Arabidopsis thaliana: one gene and its partner. The protein of the gene in region 2 interacts with the protein of the main gene of each other region in a pairwise test. Each region holds a gene or a part of one and is shown on either strand. Other genes may lie near its edges.

The links. Proteins that work in one complex are often made in the same cells at the same time.
Region 1: the proteins of AT5G22890 (region 2) and COS1 interact in binary tests that used the Arabidopsis thaliana proteins (3 or more experiments, as listed by UniProt).

The regions. Positions count from the first base shown.
Region 1 is NC_003071.7:18,220,150-18,226,733, reverse strand, and holds COS1 (6,7-dimethyl-8-ribityllumazine synthase / DMRL synthase / lumazine synthase / riboflavin synthase), read right to left. Parts: upstream 2,522-6,584; 5' UTR 2,431-2,521; coding exon 2,280-2,430; intron 2,193-2,279; coding exon 2,077-2,192; intron 1,941-2,076; coding exon 1,845-1,940; intron 1,769-1,844; coding exon 1,673-1,768; intron 1,530-1,672; coding exon 1,451-1,529; intron 1,211-1,450; coding exon 1,164-1,210; intron 1,066-1,163; coding exon 1,006-1,065; intron 856-1,005; coding exon 817-855; 3' UTR 501-816; downstream 1-500. Other genes in the region: AT2G44040 (Dihydrodipicolinate reductase, bacterial/plant), read left to right, coding at 2,736-2,749, 2,848-3,061, 3,223-3,460, 3,661-3,794, 3,890-3,964, 4,067-4,168, 4,261-4,370, 4,472-4,559 and 1 more; AT2G44030 (Galactose oxidase/kelch repeat superfamily protein), read right to left, coding at 5,506-6,584. UniProt on the Arabidopsis thaliana protein: Catalyzes the formation of 6,7-dimethyl-8-ribityllumazine by condensation of 5-amino-6-(D-ribitylamino)uracil with 3,4-dihydroxy-2-butanone 4-phosphate. This is the penultimate step in the biosynthesis of riboflavin.
Region 2 is NC_003076.8:7,650,486-7,658,834, forward strand, and holds AT5G22890 (C2H2 and C2HC zinc fingers superfamily protein), read right to left. Parts: upstream 4,351-8,349; 5' UTR 4,178-4,350; coding exon 3,056-4,177; 3' UTR 2,772-3,055; downstream 1-2,771. Other genes in the region: AT5G22875 (uncharacterized protein), read left to right, coding at 822-904, 992-1,118; HTB2 (histone B2), read right to left, coding at 1,645-2,082; CHX3 (cation/H+ exchanger 3), read left to right, coding at 6,739-7,005, 7,086-8,144, 8,241-8,349. UniProt on the Arabidopsis thaliana protein: Probable transcription factor. Together with STOP1, plays a critical role in tolerance to major stress factors in acid soils such as proton H(+) and aluminum ion Al(3+). Required for the expression of genes in response to acidic stress (e.g.

The DNA.
Region 1 (6,584 bases), on a different chromosome or scaffold from region 2:
AACAAAGTTTCTCACCAAAGACCATAGAGAACTCGCATCACATTAGATATCATCAACTAGGATCCTAGTGGAATATCCCAAACCAAAGAACATACAATGCATCTCTGTACTAAGAGACAATGATCATATCACGTGAATCAAGAGGATTCGTGGGAAATACAGATCCGAATGTTCGATCTACACATGATAGCACTAGATCAACCTAAATGTCAAACAGATCGGAGAAACAAAAAGCTCGATCTAATTACACCACCTTTTTCCATGTATTCCGATCAAATCATGAAGGATCAACGCAAGAACAACAATGAAGAGAAATAAAACTTAGTGGATTTGATTTTTACCTGGATTGGATGAATGTGAGTCACAGAGACAAAGAGAAGAGAGTGCTCCAAGAGTCACAAAATGATTATAGATTGTGGAATTGGTTGATCCGTTGAACTTTATATTAACTATTATCAATGTGACGCGTAATCTTCGCTCGCCGACAAAATTTTCGTCGTGTAAGATCCTTATTGGCTTTTAAAATTGACATCCATTTCGACACCTCAATTTCAAGATATTACAACAAAGAAGATCACATTTTTGATTAGTACAGAAAGACCCCCAAAATTCGGAGGAATTATTATTATCATACGATTCAAAAAAAAAAAACAAGGCCAGAAGCTTACAAAAGCGTTTAAATGATTTTGTAACCAAGGGTAAAACATTTTGACAATCTTTGAGGTACAAACAATTTCAGAGACTGGATTGTAACCAAATGGGACAACATCAAGAGGTTCTCATACGTGATCATGTTCATCCATCGAACGAGCCGAGCTATTTCAGGTGGTGCTCAAACAACGACGCCATTTCGAGCTGAAAAACAAGAGGAAGAAATATTCAAAGACTTTACCAAAAAGACATAAGAACCCGAATGGTTATAACATGACCAGTTGCTCAATGGAATGATCAGGAATTTCTACATCTTATTCTAACAATAAAGGATTGAATCATAATGATACTTACCGCCGTCAAAGCAGTTTCAGCTCCCTTATTGCCGGCTTTGCCACCAGATCGATTCAGAGCCTAGAGTTTCAGTTAACCACAATATTAACAAATTCAGTGTTCATCCATTATGATGAATAAGCTATATATCATCAACTCTTGCATAACACAACTTAAACCTGATCCATGTCCTCGCAAGTCAGTACACCAAATATGCATGGAACGCCTGCAAATTGGATTTTTTATAAGCTTTAATTACTAGAGTCAATAGTGCGTAAACACAAAATTTGAAGAAGTAATTCATGATGAGGGAATTTAAACATCCAAAATCCAAAGAAAAGCAAAAATGAACTACCCGCTCTTTTAGGTTCGGAAGTATACAAAATCAATCTTTCAGTGTTTCCAAAACAATGTCAAATAAAAATGTCTAAAGATGTATATCCAGCAAATAAGTATCGAGGTAAACCTGAATTTATGCTAGCAGAAAGTACTCCAGACGCAGCAGAGTTGGCAACAGCATCATAATGTGTGGTATCTCCTCTTATCTAAACCACAACAAGGACAACAGTAATATCAAAATCCAACTCTTTAAGTATATGTTATCAACATAAAGCAACTACTTTCTGAAGCCATATGAGGAGAAAAACAAATGGAATAGCCTGAGATTCTTTCAAAACAAGAATCATACCACAGCGCCGATACATAAAACAGCATGAAATTTTCCCGATTTCCCAAGATTTTGTGCAACAACACCAATTTCAAAGCTGCCAGGAACCCAAATAACCTGAATAAAAACAGTGTCATTAGCTTTGTGAAAGCTCATAACTTTTTATTCTGTTCTACAAGCAAAAGACTTTTACTTCAATGTCTTCTTCTCTGACTGAATACTTCTTGAAAGTCTCAATCGCTCCTTCCAAAAGCAACTTAGTCACAACCTCATTGAAACGAGCTACCACCTTGAGAAAGAAAAATGAATCAGAACCAAGTCAACACTGCAATTGAGCTCAAAGTTTTCAAATTTCACTGTAAATCAGAACCAAGTCACTAAATCTAAGCAGCGCACAAAGTAAGAAAGCGATTCTGAGAACTCACGATGGCGAATCTAAGACCTTCGCCTCTGATAAGAGACCCCGTAACATGGCGAACAGCAGCCGTCTGTACGAATGAAGAGCGTAATTCCTTCTCTACAGCTAGTGGTGACGCAAATCCTAACACCAAATGTTAACATCTCAATCACGAAATTGCGAAAAAACGATTTGAGTTATTATAAGAGAAGTGAGAGAAAGCAAGCTTACCGGATGTGGATGAGGAGAATGAGAGATTATTGGATTTGTTCACAGAAGAGCCACCGTGTATATAACAGGCGGAGGAAGATTGACGCGAATTGAGCTGACGGTGTGCCGTCGGTATCAGGCGGAGACACGGCGGCGAAGCTAATGACTTCATTTTTCGTTCGTCGGAGTTTTAGAGACGGTTCTTCGTTCTTCAGGTTAAGAGTGAGACTGTGAGGTCCATTAGCTTATCAAATCGGTTCAAGGCTTCCGGTTTATTATTTTCATTAAAATTACGGTTTCATTGAATCTATTAGTTTGGTTAGAGATTTCCGGTTTGATGAAAAGGGATAAGCTAAACCCTACATCCCCAATCACTCTCACCGGCCGGAAATTTTCAGACAAAAGTGAAAGATTTAAACTTTTGACTCCGTCGTAACAAAGAACAAAACTTCCGTATCCTGGAGAGTAAATTCCTTTATGGCTACGAATGGGTACGTTTCGAAACCTACGAATTTCACGTTTTGATTGACGGAGATGAGCTTTAAACTCTTTAAGAGGATTCTATTGAATTTAAACGATTTGATCACAGGTTAATGGCGTCGTCCAGTGTGTTTCTTCATCGCCCGCGTATCGCATTTGCTTCTAGAACGAATCAGACTGTAGGAAAATACGGTAAAGGCCGTGTTAGTTTCATGGGCATTGGGACACGTCGTCTTCCGGTGGTTTTATCCATGACGGCGATGGCGGATTCCGGTGAGGAGGCCGTGAAATCTGTTTTGCCTGGAAATGGCATATCCATCATGGTAAACCTGATCATCTGATGATTTCTCTTAGACTCAAAGTTGTGAGATTTGACTTTGCATTACCATTTAAGTTTGAAATGTAGAAATGTCAAAGCTTGTTCCTTTTGAAATGGGGATTTTTATGTTGGATTTAGCTATATTCATTATCTCTTATTCTACAGGTGAATGGATGTAGTGGCAAAATGGGGAAAGCTGTAATTAAAGCAGCAGACTCTGCAGGAGTAAATATTGTTCCCATATCGTTTGGATCTGCTGGTGAGGATGGTCAGAGAGTTGAGGTCTGTGGAAAGGAGATTACTGTGCACGGTCCAACTGAAAGAGAAAAGGTTCTTTCTTCGGTGTTTGAGAAGCACCCGGAGCTAATTGTTGTCGACTACACAATTCCCTCTGCAGTAAATGGTAAACTTCAGAATCTCTCATTTCTACCATCAAAAGACAATTGTATTCTAGATTTGTTGAAGTTATGGTTGAATTCTGGTTGGCGGAACGATCCTTGATTGAGTTAGTTTAGAATTTGTGCAAGTGAAAATCATCTGCTAGAAGTGTTTTTTTTGTCTATTGTTTGTTGATTTCAAGTTTGGTATTCTCGCAAAATGTAGATAATGCGGAGCTGTATAGCAAAGTAGGTGTTCCTTTCGTCATGGGAACAACTGGTGGAGATAGGAACAAATTGTATGAAACTGTTGAGGAAGCAAAGATTTATGCTGTGATTTCTCCACAGATGGGTAAACAGGTATGTGTACTTGAATGTTTCTGGAAGAAATGATTACTTATGCATGTAAGTTAAGATCATTTTTGCTCATATTTGTGTGCTTTGTTGGTCTATAGGTTGTAGCATTTCTTGCGGCCATGGAGATCATGGCTGAGCAGTTTCCGGGAGCCTTTTCTGGTTATTCCTTGGATGTACTTTTCTTACTTCTTTTATACATTCAAATTCTTTTTTCTTTCTCTGTTAGTTTTATATTACTTCTTGCTACATCTAATCAACTGCCAATCTATATGTAGGTGATGGAGTCTCATCAAGCTAGCAAATTGGATGCATCCGGAACAGCAAAAGCTGTTATTTCTTGCTTCCAGGAATTGGGTGTGTCTTACGACATGGATCAGGTGCATTGGTCATCCTTTATTGTTTACATCTTGGCAATCACTTAATTTATCCTCGGAATGTGAATTTTCTGTGTATACAACTTTTGTGGCAGATACAATTGATTCGGGATCCAAAACAGCAAGTGGAGATGGTGGGTGTACCTGAGGAGCATATCTCTGGTCACGCTTTCCATCTTTATCACTTGACATCACCCGATGAAACGTAATGCAATATCTAAGATATTGTTTATACTTTTCTTTGTTTCCATTGTAAAAGTGTCTCTGTTCCATAACTAGCTCCCTTTTCTTTGTCTTTCTTTGCAGTGTCTCCTTCGAGTTCCAGCACAATGTCTGCGGCCGATCAATTTATGCTGAGGGTACTGTTGATGCCGTGCTCTTCCTCGCCAAAAAGGTTCTAAAGCTTGCTCTTATTGCTCATCATGATTCTGCGAAATTGAATCTCAGCTTTCTCTGAGTCTCACCGCTCTTCTCTATAATGCTAATTGTTGATTCAACACTTTTGTGAAATGCAGATTCGATTGAAAGCAGATCAGCGAATCTACAACATGATCGATGTCTTGAGAGAGGGAAATATGCGTTGAGCTTTCGAGTTTTGCCAGTGCATTGACCAAATGGTGGTTGTAGAAGAGCTGAGATTAGATTTACCAAATCATCAGCTGTGAAAATTAGATGTTTGGTTTCCCACTTCTTCTGCCTTGAGCACAGGCTTTTGAAATTCCTTGGTATATACAAGAACTTGCCATTGTATTGTTCATGTTTTGACCTCTTTACCTCAATGTTATTCTCCTTTCTGGATCATTGAAGTGAAGTCTTATTGATCAAACTTCTCCACAACAATTCTCAGACAAAGTAAAACCTAAATTCATCAAATGGACCCTTCACTTACCATTTGATGATTCAACATCTAAAATGAGATCAAGTGCATAATCATAGTAAGGAACTTGACCACTCAATCCGCAGAGATTGAAATCATCTTGTATATAATCTTAATCGACAAAGTTTATTCAATCTGGTGTTGTTAAGATTTTTGGCTTTTATTGTTATTCTCATTGAACAAATGAGTCACTTCGACTGTTCTTGGCGGTATGCATTTTAGGGCAGGCAACTAAGAAGAACTCCGGGGAGTCTTTTAAATGTGTAACAGTGACAGCTTATTTGGGCTTTAAATGGGCTTCTCATGAGACACCAAAGAACGGTTTTATGTTCCATAGGCCATGAGAAACAAATGAGGGAAAGTAAGCTCCATCAATGTCTGCAATAAGCATTAAGGAAAGAAGCTGCTGGTCTTGTTGGTAGTATATATCCATATAATTAGCAAGACTTGTGAAAGTATATATTCAGTGTCGAGCAAGTGTCACTAATTCATAATGCAAAAGGAAGGAATTGGAATCTGAATCGGATTCAGATCCAGGCAAGGTAAACACATTCTCAGACCATTCAATGACTCCCCAAACCAACTCGCGCTCAAGCAAAATTAGTGCACACCAAATCTCCGTTTTACATTCCTTAGTATACGTCTTCCACCAAACTGTCACTCTCCTTCCTCCGCCAGGGCTTGCCACCGAAAGAAGATAATTACAAGACAATTCTTCAAGTCCCCCAACCGTCCAATGCCACGCCATAGCGCCACGACAGCGAACTAGTTTGAGTTTCCCATCGGAAACCGATGCTTGGAAGTCTTGGTTATCGATCTTTAGCATGCAAACATTTGGACACAAGTCAAGCTTGTCCATGGGTGTATTGTAATCAAGCGTGTCCATCGTTGTAGTGTCATAAACTTTTCCACTAATTAGGAGGCCACAATCAGGAAAAGCTATGCCATCCTTTATTAGAGCACATGGAATCACACCCTCTTTGTTCAAGGCACCTTCCGGAAATGGCTCCCAAGTTTGAGTCATTGGGTCGTAAATCTCTCCCCAGTTTACGCTGTTATGGTACTCGCTGCTGCATCCTCCGTACACATTGATCTTACCGTCAATCACATTAGCGGCTGCTTCTTTTCGAGCTATACGCATTTTAGGGAGTCGACGCCATTGATGAGATTTACAATCGAGAACATAAGCTCTCCTGCTTCTCTTTTCCTTTGCGACGAATCCGCCCAGCAAGTAGATCTCTGAACCAGTTGAGACAACAGTTGAGCAATTGGGATGTGGATCTGGGTAAGGAAGAGAAGGGAGTGGTATCAGTTTATGTTTAGGAGTTTGAGAGAGTATGAACCAGCTAGGGTTAGGGTTGTTGTTGTTATTCAGGTTTAAGCAGACATAGAGGCAGGTCTCGTTTTTTAGGATGCGGAATCGTTCGGCTTCGAGATCAGGCAAAGCGAGGAGTGATCTGAAACTCTTGGATACGAGAGAGAGAATTGGATCGTGGGTTCTCGAGACACGAGACAAACAGTTGAAAACAACGTCGTACGGTA
Region 2 (8,349 bases):
ATTTTTTATGCAAATTTACGAAGTTAGCCCAATAAGTTATTATACGAGTACGGCCCATTTAAGTTATCTACAGCCCAATATCAATTTCCCAGATCGTCACGTCCAAATTTGTCGGTTCATACACCTCCGCGGCTCGGTACAAATCCCAAATTCCCCAAATGATTCACTGAGTCGACTCGACCTCCTCATATCCCAAGTGAGATCTTCTTATTGTTTATCCGTTTGGTTCGTGATTATAAATTTTAAATCTTGCAAGATGTTCTCATACAGTTATCGCTACAGATTTCGTTCGAATTGTTTGGTTGAAATGTTTGGATTATGGATTCAGGACCCTTGATTTTGCTCTTTACTTGATTAAGAACATCTCGACGGATTCTAATTGGTTTTCTTATTGTATAAATGTAGTTTTTGTCGAATAATACTGGATTTAGGGCTTTTCGTGTATAAAAACTGTTACTTTTGGCACATCACCTGTGAGATCAATTTAAAAAACCATTGAGGTTCTGATCTATATCTGATTCTCACTTATGTCTTGATTTCACCATCTGATATTGATCAGTTTATCTGGAACTGATGTTGTAAACCATGTCTTGTCTGTGAAAAAACAAGCTCTGTGTTATGTATCTAAATGTTGACACATGAATTTCAGTGTTTCACAATGTCATAATTCTTGTTTTGTTACCTATATGCTATTAGGTGTTAGCGTCTGAGTTCAAATGATCATTTTATAACCCTTATGATGTGACACTGATTCCAATTTTGATTTTGGTTTCTCTCTAGATTTTTTTGTTTGGGTTACAAAGCCAAAACGAGAGATTACAATGGCACCATCACGTAACATCGTTGTAGCCACCGGTTTGGTTCTTTTCGCATCTGCAGGCTTAGCTTTCCCCTTTTACATGGCGTAAGCACCCTATTCTATCTCTCAAATGTTATTTTCTCATCTTGTGGTATGACATTTGTTGTTTACTCTGTCTCATTTGGGTTGCAGATCTTCGAAACAACCAGTTATCGATCCAACAAAACCATTACCTCCTCAAGCAACTTTTAGAGGACCTTACATAAACACAGGCTCACGCGATGTTGGACCTGATCATCGAACTTACCCAAAGAAATGATCCAATCAAGTCAAAACAATTACGCAGGTGTTTTCATTGTGAGCTTTGTATTCATAAGATAATATCGTTTTGTAGTTTGTTCTCCAATCCATTTAAGTCGTTGTCCTTCATGTAACACCAGTCCAACTTAACCATTGAATGTAACTGAAGAAACAGATTTATTCCTGCATAAGAACTTGATTTTTGATTGTCTAAAAAGTTTTGAGACTCAAAATCACATAACTTGGACAATACTTCTCAAATCAAAGCTTAGATATATACGCAATGAGAATCACTGTTTCAATTTTTTTTATCTCAGTTAAAGTGGAGCTCTTTAGATTCTAATCAAAATTAACAGATTTGAGAAATTGAGCAATGAAATTGCAATCGAACATTGGAAAATTAAGTAGATTTCATAGCCGTGCCATAAATTAAAACCCTAATTCCCATATTACATAACCCTCAAAGATACCCAAAAGCATAAACCCTATTTCACATTCCAACTACTACTACTACTTCTCCTCCATTACAAAACCACATTCCAAATCTAAGAACTCGTAAACTTCGTAACCGCCTTAGTCCCTTCAGAAACAGCATGTTTCGCCAACTCTCCAGGCAACACAAGTCTCACCGCAGTCTGAATCTCCCTAGAAGTAATCGTCGGCTTCTTGTTGTACCTCGCAAGCTTCGAAGACTCACCAGCAAGTTTCTCAAAGATATCATTGATGAAACTGTTCATGATTCCCATGGCTTTGCTGGAGATTCCGATATCTGGATGAACTTGCTTCAACACCTTGAAGATGTAGATCTTGTATGTCTCAACGTTCTTCTTTGATCTCTTCTTCTTCTTGTCTCCGGCGCCGGCTGGTTCCTTCGGGAGTTTCTTTCCGGCTTTTGGTTTCTTCTCTGCCGCTGCTGCTGGTTCGGCTGCCGGAGTTTTCTCTGCCGGTTTCTTCTCCGCTGGTTTCTTATCTGCCTTCGCCATTTTCAAACTTTTCTAGGGAGTGAGTTTTTTTTGCTGTGATGGTTTTGATTTGATACTGTTATCTTCGAGAATTGTGTGTTTGTTTATATAAGAGAATAGGAAGAGATCTGATTAGTTAAGATACTGAAACGCGGATGCGTGACGTGGAGATATGAGTGCTGTTCGATGAAGGGTTTTGGTGAATGGATGGTTCAGATCTATTTTACTTTAATGCGCGAGTGATTTTAAATTTCTTTTTCGAAATATTGAAAAATTCGAATTTTCTGTTGCGCTTTTTGTTATCCGCCATAAGTTCATGAAGCGGCAAAGAGAGAAAAAGTTTTTGGCGTGGATAGCTGACGTGGTTACTTTTGATCCGTCTACCAATGAACGGCTATGATTTTACCGTATCTACAAAGTTGGTAACAACTTTTTCCTATCTAACATTTTTATGGAAATGAAGAACTAATGCATAATTATAAGTTTTCAACTCTTTCAAAATTCTTCAAAAATAACCAACTTTTTATAGATACAAATTTTGAATTTCTCTAAAATACAAACATTTAGTTCAGCTTAATAAGTTGGACTCATCTTAATAAGTTAATATGTAGTTGTATTTTAACAGAGTTAACGATGTTTCTTATATTTTCTTAAAATTCTGCATGATATATCAATAGATAGTTGTTGATTAATCTGAGAAGTGAGAGACGTATTAAACATAAATTTTGATTCTCACTGATTCCACATATTTCTGAGATTAGTGAAAATCTATGCATGATACCCATCAGAACCAAAATCATTTGTAACATTAACGTTAATGCACAAGTCACTATGATACAAATCTGTATATTATCTTATCTTTGTGACATTAATTTAGAGAATATAGAAACTCGTGAAAAGAAAAAGAACAAAAAAAAGAGAGGGAGTGAATGCACGTGTCATTTCTTGAGATATCGTCTATGAAATCTCTATAGACCTCAAACTTCCTATGTTCTTACTTTAGGGTGATTGTCGGCGGCTTGGACGACCCATGTGCCGGTACGTGGCCCAAAAACAAAGAAACGTGGCTCATCAGCTTGTCTTTCCTAGAAAATTTAGTCCCACAAGAGCAAACCCACTTTATATCCCCACAATGCTTCTCGTGTGTCCTAAGATCAGACAGAACCGAGAAATGCTTCACACTACATCTCCTGCACATATACATTTTGGGACAATGACTCCTCTTGTAATGATTCTTGGCGCAAATCACAGATTTCAACGGTTGAAACTTCTCGTGCCTCTGGTTCCATCTACACCCGTGTTGAGGACAGGAGTAGTAATGTTTCTTTAACGAGTATCCTCCTTTCTTGTCTTGGCTCGTTGGGCTGATCAAGGCCTCACGTGTCTTGTACTCATCCCCGTGCGCTCTCATGTGCATCCTTAGATTAGCGTCTCTCTTAAACCCTTTCCCACAAATCTGGCAGTAATGCGTGTATTTCGCTAGTAGGTCCGCTACGTCTAGCTCCAGTATATCGTAGCTCCCGGAACTTGGTTTAGAACGATGTTTATCTTTTTTAGGGTTTATGGTTTCGGTGTTGTACCAATCAAGATTCTGGTCGGGAAACGAGATCTGCCCTCTTTCTTGGACACCAAAAAGGTTGGTCGACTCTTGCACAAAATCATGACCCGGGTCGGTTTCTTGTCGGGAAAACTCCAAAACCATTGCATCTACGGTTTGATCATTATCGATATCGTTGTTGTTGTTGTTAGATCCGATTTGGAGTTGTTGGCAAGTATATAACATGGATGAAGCAGCCGTGATGATCTCTTGAACCAAACTTCCGATGTTAGCCACGGCCAAAGACGTTGACCCCGAGGATTGGTTAATGTTATTAGTAGATACCATGTAGAAGCTGACCAGAGATTGGATCTGATGGACTTTTTCATGTAAGGTAGATAGATTGTATAGAAGAGAGAGTGAAACGTCGTCGTCTTCCATTGATTTCGTCCCGGTCGTGGTCACGGGATTAACATAGATTTGTTTTGAGGAAGTACTGGTCTCCCCGGAGAAGCTAGAGATTGATCCTTCAACTTTCTTTGCAATATGCTCATCTCGATTCATCATATGTATATGCATGTATATGAAGAATCTAGCTTGAGTTTTGTTCTTATATTTTCTTTGGATTTTGTTGAATCTTTAAATTCTTTGTGGTATATTTGTTTCATATATATGCCAGACGGTCCAGACTCTAGAGAGATGCAATGAAGAAGACACCCTACCCTCTACCGTATAAAATACTCGCGAGTTGTGACATACATTCACACAAAATAACACACACAAACAAATACATGTCACACATATAGTAATTTATTTTTTCGTTTCACTTTATCAAACATCTTAAAATCGGAAAGATTATACTAAATTGAGTAAAATTTGAAAACTAAGCTATTGAACCTAACTATATTTTGAACCTTGCAGTTTATTAGTGATTTAAAATCCAAAAGATATTTTGATCCAAACAAAATATTGTAATTAAAAAAAAAAACATTCTAATTGATATATTATGTCAAGTAATGTTTTTTTTTCTTAATTTAGAAGTTAGAATTTAAGAATTTTATGTTTTCTAGAGACGGGACACACGTTAGGTTACATTCATCTGTTTTAGAAAGAAAAAAAAAATTAGCGGGGGTTGATGAACCCTTAATCAACCATTGGGCCAAAGGACTTCCACAACTATATTTGTTTATGTTTATGTTTGATTTTATTTAAAATCAGATATTTAATTAAAGATTTACAAAGATGTTTTAAATTAAAAAGACATCTAGACGTTTATAAATATACGATACATAGAAGTTGTAAATAATGTCTTTTTGTCAATAATGACAATAATATGCAATATACAGATTTTGATGAACCCGGATGCTGGCAAGAGAAAACGCTAGAAAAGTTCAATAGACTAAGTTTTTGTCGTCATGAATGATGTTTTTTCTTCTCTCTAAATGCATTTGTCATGTATATGAATTATTTACATTAGGTTGAAAATGGAATAATAGAAGTATGTGATGTGGTTAGGATTAACTTGGAAGTCAACTCGAGATAGCAAAAGCGACCATCCCCACATAAATCCTCCCCCGGATGAAACCTTAACTAGACTTTGTCAGCTACATCTTATGAGTTAAATAAACGAAGAAGGTCAATCCCGATGTAATTAAAGAATGATTAACCTAAGTCAAGTGTTAGTGTTCTTTCATGGCCTTTTCTTGTATTGTTCTATATACAATACGTTCTGTAACTGTCAAGCTCACATCTATATAATATCTTATGTCAAATCCAATCCTTTAAAAAAAAAGTTGCGACTACATTCAGTTCTCTTATCTGCTTACATGCACACATATTTTTTTTTCTTTTCATGCACACATATTTGTACACGCGTGCATATACGATTATATGATTGGATCTTACATGAAATGTTTATAATGTGGCCATCGGCATGAGTTGCAATTATATTAAATAAATATTGCTTATGCGTGCTCATTTTTTAATTTCGGAAGAAGTAGTTTTGTTGGTGACTAATCAAAATTTCTATGCAGTGATGATGATATGGGTGATCAATGCTGTTTCTTGGGGTTAGCTTTGGTGAGTTACGTTACTTTTTGTCCTTTAGAAGAAAAAAATGCCACGTTAGTTAACGCTTTTTAAAAAAAAGAAGTTGCTGCTACCATTACAGTGACAGTGTATTCCACATGCGATTCTAGTAGAGTTTTTTAGTTCTTTTTGCTGGGAACCAACCTGCAAACCACATTTGTAAATAAGACGTTATTAAACCAGACTTCACTAATATAGGCCAGTCGAACTGGCTCACCACAACATGGGAATGTAGGATGACATGAATCTCTGAATTACAAATGTCATGTATATAATTACCCTCAGTTTTAAAATGCTACACCAAACAAATTCAACTCAACTACTTTAATTTAGTTTTCAAGTTTCCAATATGTGACCAAAAAGTGAAAGCTAACAAAAACAAGACCTTTGCGTAGCTGGGAGTTCGAACTCCACTTTCCCTATTATTACGTACTTTGTCAAATAAAAAAAGAAAATATAAAGAAAAAAAATACACAAATTTCTTTTGGAAAAATTATGCTTGCTACCCAAGCTAACTATTTTTGAATGAGTTTTAAATTGCAATTTCAAATTCCTCCAATCTGATCACCGGGACGTGAGCAAGAACACGGGATCGGAGATGATTACTCGTCATCATAATCTGATGATCCATCGGAATCACCGGAGAAATAGAGGCGGCACGTGGTATCGCCAGAAGTTGGATTGTAATTTCTTTCTTCATGACCTTTGGCAATTTGTCTGTTGTAGTTTGCTCAATTACCCGTAAATTAGCAGAATTAAGTTGTAACCTGTAAAAACTAACAGTAATCAGACAATCCTTTAAAATATATATATTTATGTCGCCGGCCAAAACCTGTTTCTTGTTGGTAACGTTTGCCCATTCATTATTTACTATTATTAGGGTTTTAAAACTCAGATGATCACTTGTTCTTTAGATTCTGTTACCTAAACAGTAAAAGAAGAATTAATTCATATAAAAGATCCAAATCCTTGTAATCCTTCTCCGATAACACATTGCTCCTGGAATCTTTTTTTTTTTTTAATTTGTTTCATTTGAGGGTTCATCATCATCAATGGAGGTGTTTGGAGATAATAAGATGTTTTACATGAGAGACACATGGAGAGAAGGAACCATGATTTGTGACGTCTTACCTATCAACCCTAGCTCCAATGGTGTTTGGCCGCAACAAAAATTCTCAGATCCTAACATCAATGTTCATTTCTGGAATTACGCGTTTCCACACTTGCAAATGATATTTCTCATCATCTCTTTCTTATGGCAATTCTTACATTTCTTCCTTCGACGTCTTGGCATGATACGTTTCACTTCTCATATGCTTGTAAGTAATCGAAAATCTCGATTTCGTTTTCTTGTTATCTGGATTTGAAATTTGAGGTTTGTGTTGATCTTTGTTTGTAGACTGGTGTTCTTTTAAGCAAGTCTTTTCTAAAGGAGAATTCAGCAGCGAGAAGATTCTTTTCTACAGAGGATTACAAAGAGATTGTGTTTAGTCTCACTGCTGCTTGTTCTTACATGATGTTCTGGTTCTTGATGGGAGTTAAAATGGACACGGGTTTGATCCGAACCACAGGAAGAAAAGCTATCACCATTGGGCTCTCCTCTGTTTTACTTTCGACGTTAGTTTGTTCCGTTATCTTCTTCGGAAACTTAAGGGACGTTGGAACGAAAAACTCAGACCATACTCTCAATTCATTAGAGTATGTTGTGATTTACTCAATCCAATGTCTTTCTTCTTTCCCCGTTGTTGGAAACCTTCTCTTTGAGCTCAGGCTACAAAACTCAGAGCTTGGTCGTCTAGCGATATCTTCTGCTGTGATAAGTGATTTCAGCACCTCAATTCTCGCTTCCGTTCTCATATTTATGAAGGAGCTCAAGGACGAACAAACACGGCTCGGGAGTGTGTTTATAGGTGATGTTATTGCAGGGAATCGTCCTTTGATGCGAGCAGGGATAGTGGTTCTCTTTGTATGTATTGCCATCTATGTTTTCAGACCGTTAATGTTCTACATTATTAAACAAACACCTTCCGGTCGTCCCGTCAAGGCAATCTACTTAAGTACAATAATTGTTATGGTTTCTGGTTCAGCCATTCTTGCCAATTGGTGCAAGCAATCTATTTTCATGGGACCTTTCATCTTAGGTCTTGCTGTTCCTCATGGTCCTCCTTTAGGTTCTGCGATCATTCAGAAGTATGAGTCGGCTATATTCGGAACTTTTCTTCCGTTTTTCATTGCTTCATCTTCCACGGAGATCGATATTTCGGCTTTATTTGGTTGGGAAGGTCTCAATGGTATTATACTCATCATGGTAACATCTTTTGTCGTCAAGTTCATCTTTACTACTGTTCCTGCTTTGTTCTATGGTATGCCGATGGAAGATTGCTTCGCTCTATCTCTTATCATGTCGTTTAAAGGCATCTTCGAGCTCGGTGCCTACGCCTTGGCCTACCAAAGAGGGGTATGTAATTATGTATACACACATAATGAAGTTCATAATCATAATTAATCATTTCAATACAAAGTTTATCTTATGTTTATGCTTTGAACATTGCAGTCTGTCCGTCCCGAGACCTTCACTGTGGCGTGTCTTTACATAACGTTGAACTCCGCAATCATTCCTCCGATCTTGCGGTACTTATACGATCCTTCGAGGATGTACGCGG